2 linked regions of the Solanum lycopersicum genome follow. Each later gene encodes a partner of the first gene's protein in a complex. Links are inferred from orthologs where the notes say so. Each region holds a gene or a part of one and is shown on either strand. Other genes may lie near its edges.

Region 1 (4,505 bases):
AAAATGAAAAGAAAAAAATTGGTATCTGGACAAGGGGATGCCATATGCAGCAGGAAAAAAATGTGAATTTGAGAAGTCAAAAGGGATAAACAAGAATATTTGCTTTTTGTATGCTTACCGCCTTTTGAAAAATTCATAAGGAAGGTACACTGCCTTCAGAGCATCCAGAAAAACTTGAGGATCGGCATCTGAAAACAGGTGTTGAATGTTCCTAGCAAAGCTCCCTGTTGTATTATGAAGTTCAATAAGGGCTTCCAAATGTTTAGTCTGAATCTTGGCACCTTTTGGCAAATCTCCATTTGAAATGTCAATTATACCTGAAAGTCAATGCAAAATCTGAGGCAGAATGGATGGAAAACATCCAAGAACTTTGTTATCCAGGTATAGCGATAGTGACATCCAAAAACAACAAAATAGGGAAATTAGAGCTGAATCTTGCATGCATAAATTGGTGATAGTGACATCCATGGTTGATTTGCACGCTCAAAACTTCAATTTCAACAATCCATGTATATGACTAGTTTAAGCCATTTATATGCTTGTGAACTAGTTGGACACCAATTCTTCAGAATGTTTGATGAAACAGAGAAGGCAACATCATAACAGAAAGATCAGAAAACACGATAAACTTATGCTTAGATGAAACTACATGCAACTGTGAAAGAGAACAAGAAGTTATTCAGATCATGGTTCTCAAAAACTCCTAAAGAATAATAAAACCTCACCTTTCGCCAAGGTTTTTGTCTCAGTCACGGCATCCCCAATGGCAAGATTGATCTGTGATGCAAAACTCACACCAATAGTTGACATTGCTTCATTTAGTAGGCTTGGTACAAGAGTTCTGTATTCTTCTGGAAAGGCAAACATACACCTGCAACAAAAATATCTATTGTTCACTAGAGGATCATTAAATGGAGATATCAGGTTGTCTCCTCATTTTTATTACGATTTCAGATATCAATTTTCCACGTGTATTTACTCTAGTTCCTGCCACTTCAAGATACCGTGAGCAATGAGAAGCACACCTAAGCACTTTCATGACTGCAATGAAGTACCACTTAACTGAAATGAAACTCCCAACCTGCAATGCACCTAAGTTTCAGTACTTAGGTGCGCCTGGTGCCTCAAGGAAGCCTTTAAAGACATTGTTTAAACCCTGGACCTCCAGGTTCTTACTCTAACGCCTAAACCCAGCCAACAACTCGTTTTGGGACGTTTATCCATTTCATTATAGTAATCTTTTTATTTCCTAAGTTGTACTCGAATAAGAACCAATATCGAGATGTCAGTCTAGAATATAAGAATGCTTAATCAGTAACCTCAATTAAGACAAAATTAAAAAATCTGAAAGCAAGAGAGCATATGACTTCCAATCTCTAGGAGGAAAACAAAGTAGATTTTTCTTTCTTTTTTCATGAAAAAGTACCAAGTGAGTTAGCTGGCCCGACATAAGTTGGTCCACAGTTCAAAACTCTGGAGAATATAGCTTTCCCTCTACCCTGCTTTTACATAAATTCCAGGCAACTAGTCAGTGGCAGGGTTCTAACCCGTGACATGCGCCCCATTCACACGTCTCACATTGTGTCCTTCCACTGAACCAAAGTCCTAGGCGCAAAACTAAGTAGAATTATCTAAGAAAAAGTTGCAGAAAAGCTATTCGTACCACTTCCACTCCTGTTCAAGATAAAGCAACAATTCATCGTAGAAACTAGTCAGCCAACTTGAGAATGATATCATGGACGGTTGAAAATCCTGAGAATTTGATAGTCTATCCATTTCACTTTTTTCATTGGCAACTTTATTGGCCTGCTGCCTCAAGTCAAAATCTTCCCAAAGCCGCTTTATTGGCTTAAGGTGGACCATGGTGTAGTGCATCTCTAACGACTTGAATCTCCCAATTCTCAGAAGAATCGCACGCATTTCTTGGGCAACATCAACCTACAAAATAGCAACAAGCGTTTATTACAGTTCTCTTAAAGATTTATGATGCAAGAATGCATTCATTTAAAAACATACAATATAACCTTTAGAAAAGGATTACAAAGGAGAAAGAGAGCTAAAGTAACCTTTCGATTGCTTAGAGCATCTGTCAGTCGAGGTTGGACAACTGAGTCTAGTCTGTCTTCTAAAACTTCTAGTTGCCTCCTAATATTGGCAAATTCAGCAACCTGAAATTGCAAAAGACTTAATAAAGCAAGAACTATTTCACTGCACATACCACACACATTGGCATGCTATGTAAAAACAAGCAAGTCGAAACTCACCTCTCCAACGGCAGACAAACAGTGCCTCATATTAGCCAGAGTTTCTGCAGCTCGTGGAAGGTCACCACTAGCAAATACCTCCTCCACTGTTGAGCTTAATTGAGTTAAACCAGCAGCATCCTTCAAACCAGAAAATTCAAGTATTTCGAAGTCATAAAATCAGAAAATTAGCATGAAACTGGAATAATTGCTAGTGTTAAATACAGTGAATGATTTCATCTAGAGTTATGAAAATATTACCTGCAATGTCTCATATGCAGCTTCCATTCTCCGCTTGACCGTATCAACTTTTGCTAATGTAGCTACAGATTCAGCAGATGATCCCTCAGCCTGTGCAAAGGAATCAAAGTTATGAGATAGGAAATGTGTCATTGCTTTAATTTCAGTGAAGCAAATGATGCAATAACAGAAAATGTAAAAATGTAGGGGAAAGAGAGAGAACTTTTTTAAGTTTTTGGAGGATGGCAGAGAGAGAGGAGCGAAGGGAGAGAGCATCGTCACGAAGGCGGATGACATCTCGATTAGCGCGGGGGACACGGAGGAGTGCGGCGGAGCTTTGCTCCTCCAGGGAAGCGGCGATCTCTTCAGACACCATCTGAAGCTTCATTTCCAGATCTATCAAGTGTTTGTCCAGTGGATCCTGTGGATGCCGTGACTGGCACGCTGAGTTTATCCATTTTTTCGGATCAAATTTCTCGTCGGAGAAGGAACTCAGATCCACCATCATCGTTGCCGCCGATCACTGGTAATCGCCTTTGCTTTGCTTAGACAACGTCTCAAACCACCACATTTAGGACCTGTTTGGAAAGTGAATTTTTTTGCTTTGAATTTCTGTTATATTTGTTTCACTAATATTTTACCTTGCGAGTTATTTATTTTTATTTAACTTTTAATAAATTATTTTTTTAACAAATATTCTTATAATTTGATGACATCAATATTTTTATTAAACATATACTTCATGTTCATAAATTTTTATTAAAATTTAATAAATTATTTTCTTATCAAATACTTTTATAATTCGATGATATTAATATTTTGTTAAACGTATATTTCATGTTCATATAAATTATGCACTTTAGATTTTATGATTATTTTAATTAAAATATACTATTTTAAAAAATATTATAAGATTAATTATTTTTAATTTAAACAATTAATTTTTTTTAATTTAATATTATCTTGTGATTCTATAGTGCAATTAAATAGTATATAATTATTGAAAATTCTAAAAAATATTTTTTATTTTGATTAACTAATTAAATTGAAATATATTCGGATTTAATAATATAAGTGATATATTATCTCTAAATCCTATTCAAATTTAGAGAGTTTCAACACTTTTCGCTTTATTTTATGTTTCTATAAGAATTCGATTGCAGATAAATTAAGTTTAGTTATTTAAATATTGAGATATTTTTAAGGATATCGATAATTTAAAAATAAAATTAATAATTAGTTTTTAGGTAGAAAGAAACTTCTATTTGATAAAATTTAAAATTAAATATAGATTTACAAATAATTCTCTCTCTTTTTAAGATTATCATAAATCATCTCATTTACTGCAAAATCAAAGTTGATAAAAGTACATGATTGATGGAAGAAACCGAAAGAATTAAAAGCAGAGAAGAAGAAGAAGAAGAAATATGGAGCTGGGGAGCAGGAACAGAGGGACAATTAGGAACAGGAGAACTCCAAGATGAACACAAACCTCAACTCATTCATTCTCTTTCTTCTTTTGGTCCTATTTCTCATATCTCTTGTGGTGGAGCTCATGTCATTGCCCTTACCCCTGGTATGATCTTTTAATCTACTCTCAGAACTTATATTCTTGATGGGGTTTATGGTTTTTCAGTAAAGATGACATCTTTTTTCGTGTGAGATTCGAATTTGTGTATTTATGTGGTTTTTACTTGATGGGGTTTGAGTTTTCTTTTTTTGGTTTGGGATTAGGAGGAGGGGAAATAATTACAGGATGGAGAATCGAATTCTTATCGATATGATGAATGTTCATGTATACAACTAACTGAGCTACTAAGATTTCTCGTGTTTTAAGGTTTTGCAGTAAAGTTGACACCTTTTTTGTGTGAGATTCAATCTGTGTATTTTCTACTTGATAGGGTTTAAGTTTTATTTTGGAGGGTGGGGTTAGGAGAAGGGAAAATGGGGAAAGAAATACATAGTAGAGAATCGAACCCTTACCAACAAGGTGAAAGTTCATGTATCCAACTAATTGAGCTA
Region 2 (4,720 bases), on another chromosome or scaffold:
TAAAGGGAAAAAAAAATTTAAACTATTTTTTTTGTGTGTATTGTAATTTAATTTACGTTGGGCATGTAAGCTGATTTAAAAAAGCTCAAAAAATCGAATTGATCAAATTTATTATCAAGATAAATTAAATTTTTATTTACTATGATTTTTGATCGATAAATTAAGCATATATCGAAAATCGTTTTTATGCTATAAACATAATAGATGATTATGTTAGTTTTGTTGCAACGAGTAATGATAATATGACCTTTTATTTGCCATTAAACTTGCAATCTATTTATGTTAATGAGTTTAGTGTTTCTTTTATATATAATATGATAATATGTATTTGGTGAGTTTCATTGTAATTGTAATAAGTTTAAACAATATTTTTTTTTTGAATAAATAACATAAGTTAGATTGTCCAACGATAAATTTATTATAAATTACTAAATCTATATTGTTTTATTTAACCTGACGAATAATGACAATTATGCATTTTTTAGGCATTACTAAAATGACTTCATTCCTTTTTCTCGAATTCTTATTCTACTAAAAATGATAAAATTGTTAACTATTTGAGCAAATTTTACTTATTAATAATTTTATTTATTCTTATTTCACAAAATATCCTTCTACAATAGTTTCTTTGTAACTTTTTTTTTTTAAAAAAGTTTCTTTTTAACTTAATTGATAATTCATTATAAAACAACAAATGTTATTAATAGATTACATAACAAAATATGTTGACTTAAATAGAAAATCTCTCAAAAATTATTTAAACAAATTTTTTGTGTGTGAAACCGTTATTATCTCCCACTTTTTTCTTATTTTGTTCCTGGGCTTCAAATTCTATAATCCGTTATGGGAAAAGGATAAATATATCCTTTATATATCATAAATGATATGTAAATATTATCCGTTATACTTTTGAGATATTAGTGTCCATATCGTTAAAAAATTAGAGCATATATGTCCTTCATTTTAACGGAATACTACGTAGGAACATGTGGCACAATTTTATTCGTCGATAAATGTCGGATCGACAAATAAGATTATGGCACGTGTATGTCCGTTAGTGTAAAGTGTATATATATATTCTAGTTTTTGGACGGCAAGAGCATCAATGTCCCGAAATTATGACGGAGGGTATTTATTATTTGCGATAGTTTCGGGTATATTTATCTTTTTTTTTCCTTTAAAAGTAGATGACTAAAGAACAAATTTCGAAATTAACTAAAAAGACGATTGATTAACTTGAAAAGGAAAGAAATCTAGTTAACAAATACACCCTCTGTCCCTATTTACTTGTCCATATTTTCTTTTATATCTGTTTCTATTTACTTGTCCATATTTTCTTTTATATCTGATTTATTCGTCTTTTTTAACAAATCAAGAAAAGACAATAATATTTTTCCTTATATGCCCTTATTTAATTCTAGTAAATTTCAAATGTTACTAAGTTGTAATGCATGCTTTTTGAAACCAAAAAAAAAATATTTTTTATACTTAGATAGTTGCATAATCTTTTTAAGTTAAAGATAAAATTGTAATTAACCTATGATAATAATTGGTGTCTTAATATGTGTGTCACTTCTAAAATAAATTACTAAATAAAAACAGAGGGAATATAATAATATCCACGATTATGATTAATAATATGTTTCTAAAATGAACAACTAAATAGGAACAGAGGAAATATAATGATATCCACGATTATGATTAATAATATGTCATTACTTATTTTTCTAAATTACAATAACTATAATATATTCCGTATAATTTTATAAATAAAATTTCAAAAAGATAAAATATAGGGGAATTTTATCACTACATTTGCAATGAATAAACTAACTCCTCTTTTAGAACTTGTTTAAGAAAATGTGAAAAACAGACCCAAATTCTCACTCAGTTCAAAACGATCAGAAAAAGCCAGCATTTTGTTACATCGCCGGTGGCCGGAATCAATGGCGTCTCCGGCGATTCAGAGATCAACGCATTTATCATCTACACCCGTATCTTCTTCATCTCCCCTTCAACGTCTCTCAACTTTCAAAGACAGATCCATCAACCCCACCCCTACTGCTACCGTTACTCCTACTCCAACCTCCGGCCTTACCCCATTCACACCTGCCTCTTCCCCTCTCGATTCCTTCACTTCCGATCCCATTTTCTCATCCTTCCTATCCTCCGACTTTGATTCCACACGTTTCTCCTCCGCCGCACTTTCCTCCGGTTCTACCGCTTCACGTATCGAGAAGCTTCAAGAAGGTCTCCGTCTCCTTGACCATCAGCTTCGTCATGAAGTTCTTACACGTCATCATGATTTGCTCAATCAGCTTACTTCATTACGTGCTGCTGAATCTGCACTTTCGACTCTTCGTTCATCGGTTACGTCTCTTCAGTCGTCGCTACGTCGGGTCCGTTCTGAACTCTCTGATCCTCATCAAGTAATTGAAGTGAAGACCCTTCAGCTTTCGAATCTTCATTCAGCTACTGAGCTGCTTCAATCGACAATTAGGACTATTCGGTTGTCTAAAAAGCTTAGGGATCTCATGGATTCGACCCCAGACCCGGAAAAATTGGATCTTTCGAAAGCTGCTCAGCTACATTTTGAGATACTATCGCTTTATAATGAGTACCATTTAGCTGGGATTGATGTGGTTGATTTGGAACTCAAATGGGTTCTTGAAATTGGGCAGAAATTACGGGCTGAAGGGATGAAAGTTTTGGAAAAAGGACTTGAAGGCTTGAATCAAGCTGAAGTTGGGGCTGGGCTTCAGGTGTTTTATAATATGGGGGAGTTGAGGGGAACTGTGGATGGGTTAGTGAGCAAGTATAAGGCAATGGGAGTGAAGAGTATAACGACTGCTTTGGATATGAAAGCTATATCTGCTGGTGGCGGATTTGGTCCGGGAGGGGTGCAGAGAAGTGGGACACCACAGTTTGGGGGAAGTGCAAAGGCGAAGGATGCATTATGGCAAAGGATGAGTGGTTGTATGGACCAATTGCATTCCATTGTGGTTGCTGTTTGGCATTTGCAGAGGGTTTTATCGAAGAAAAGAGACCCCTTTACGCATGTCTTGCTGCTTGATGAGGTCATGCAGGTGTGTGAATGCATCTTTAGTTGATATGAATTGTTTCTAAGAAGTTATATATGATGCTTTTCTTATATTGAGTTATTTGTAGTCTAAAATGGCATGATCACATTAAGCCTGAATATGTTGCCTTGTGTTGGAAATATGGAATTGGTTAAGCTGCAAAATAACTTTATAGCTAGATAGAAACCGAAGACCTGGTTTGAGCCAGCTTAAGCGTGTTATCAGGATCTTTGCTAGAAAGGTTGGTTCCAAATGAAATATATATAATCCTAGGTAGTTACATTCAGGATATCTAAAAGAATACTCTATGGAAAACAATGAAATCATGGGAAGTACCGATAGACTGTCTTCACTACTCACCATTATGTAGTTGTGTTATTGATAATGCGGATATCCTTTTTCAGGGTCCTGATCCTGTGTTTGAGGGTGATTAGTGAGGCAATTAATAGGGAAAAAGTGGTCAGTATAAGTTTCGCAGAAAAAAGTACAGTATGGTGAGTACTGCTTGAGGAATAGTGAATTCTGATAGCAAGCAGTTTCTTCTTTTGGCTACTCCCAGGGAGCCCCCAAGTTTCATGACTTGTGGTAGCATTGAGCTTGAATCTGTTGCTCCGATTTGGTAACTTAGGTTTAGTTAACCTTGTTATGACTTTAACCTTGGTATGACCCAAGCGGACCAACTATGAACAATCATTTTTGGGATTGCATCAACTCTCTACTTAGAGCTTCGATTTTTGTATACGAGCTGACTCAATCTGTCTTTTGTAATTTTTGCTTTTGTTTCTGTTTGCTGCTATTAATGAAATCTACTTCAACACGAAAAAGACCAACTTTGAGCAATTTTTAAGGGAGATTAGCTGATTGTGTCCATAGGGTAAAAGAATTTTCATTCCAAAAGAAATGTATATAACCTTATGCAGTTACATTTAGGTATCCGAAAGCAATATTCTGTGGAAAATGATGAAATTAGCTGTAATCATGCGAGGTAGTGAGACACTGTCAACTCCTCATTATGTTGTTCTGTTCTCATAATGTGGGTCACAACAAGTCCTTTTGTCCCCAATTATAGCCCTGTGTTTGAGGGTGACTTATTTGACAATGAAAAGGAAACCATCGGTAATATTAAGTTAATCAGTCCATGAAATGGTTTCTGCTACCAAGGGTACAGTATGGTAAGTTCTTTTAAAGGAACGGTGAATCTGATAGAAAGTAAGGCTAACAAATCTGTAATGAAATGAGAAGTGTATTTGAGCTGATTCTATGATCCTAATTCCTAAAGATTTAAATCTTAGAAGAATAAAATTTTGAAATGAATTTTTGCTTGTCCCCCAAAAATCTTTCCTGCCATATAATCCCTGTGTAATATAACTCATGCATTGAGAGTGGGGCTGTCTTACTCCAACAATTGCTGCCTTCTCCTTTCACTGTGCAAAGGTCCACTGATCTATTAGAACAAATAATGCCCTCTTCCTACTAATTTACTTAATAATAGACTAAGAAACACAGTGAACTCTTATGTCTGGCTGTGTGACAATTTTCCGTATTTCTTAAATATCTACTCTGTTTTGATTGCAATTTGCATGTGATGAGACATGACCTAATTTAGAAATATTCCTCATTAAGTTCATTTAGTGTTTTAT

Evidence for each region. The genes of interacting proteins can lie anywhere in the genome.
Region 2: conserved oligomeric Golgi complex subunit 7 (region 1) and conserved oligomeric Golgi complex subunit 5 share a complex: the UniProt entries of both Arabidopsis thaliana proteins name them as parts of the conserved oligomeric Golgi complex. The link is inferred for Solanum lycopersicum from reciprocal best matches to the Arabidopsis thaliana genes EYE and AT1G67930.

What each region holds. Positions count from the first base shown.
Region 1 is NC_090804.1:1,813,961-1,818,465, reverse strand, and holds the start of conserved oligomeric Golgi complex subunit 7, read right to left. Parts: upstream 3,120-4,505; 5' UTR 2,992-3,119; coding exon 2,707-2,991; intron 2,595-2,706; coding exon 2,505-2,594; intron 2,385-2,504; coding exon 2,265-2,384; intron 2,169-2,264; coding exon 2,067-2,168; intron 1,939-2,066; coding exon 1,664-1,938; intron 872-1,663; coding exon 726-871; intron 318-725; coding exon 119-317; intron 1-118. Other genes in the region: ultraviolet-B receptor UVR8, read left to right, coding at 3,861-4,059. UniProt on the Arabidopsis thaliana protein: Required for normal Golgi function. Necessary for embryo development and pigmentation, especially for the expansion of cells and organs, and for the formation of the organized shoot apical meristem (SAM).
Region 2 is NC_090809.1:2,247,680-2,252,399, reverse strand, and holds the start of conserved oligomeric Golgi complex subunit 5, read left to right. Parts: upstream 1-1,709; 5' UTR 1,710-1,946; coding exon 1,947-3,086; intron 3,087-4,720. UniProt on the Arabidopsis thaliana protein: Required for normal Golgi function.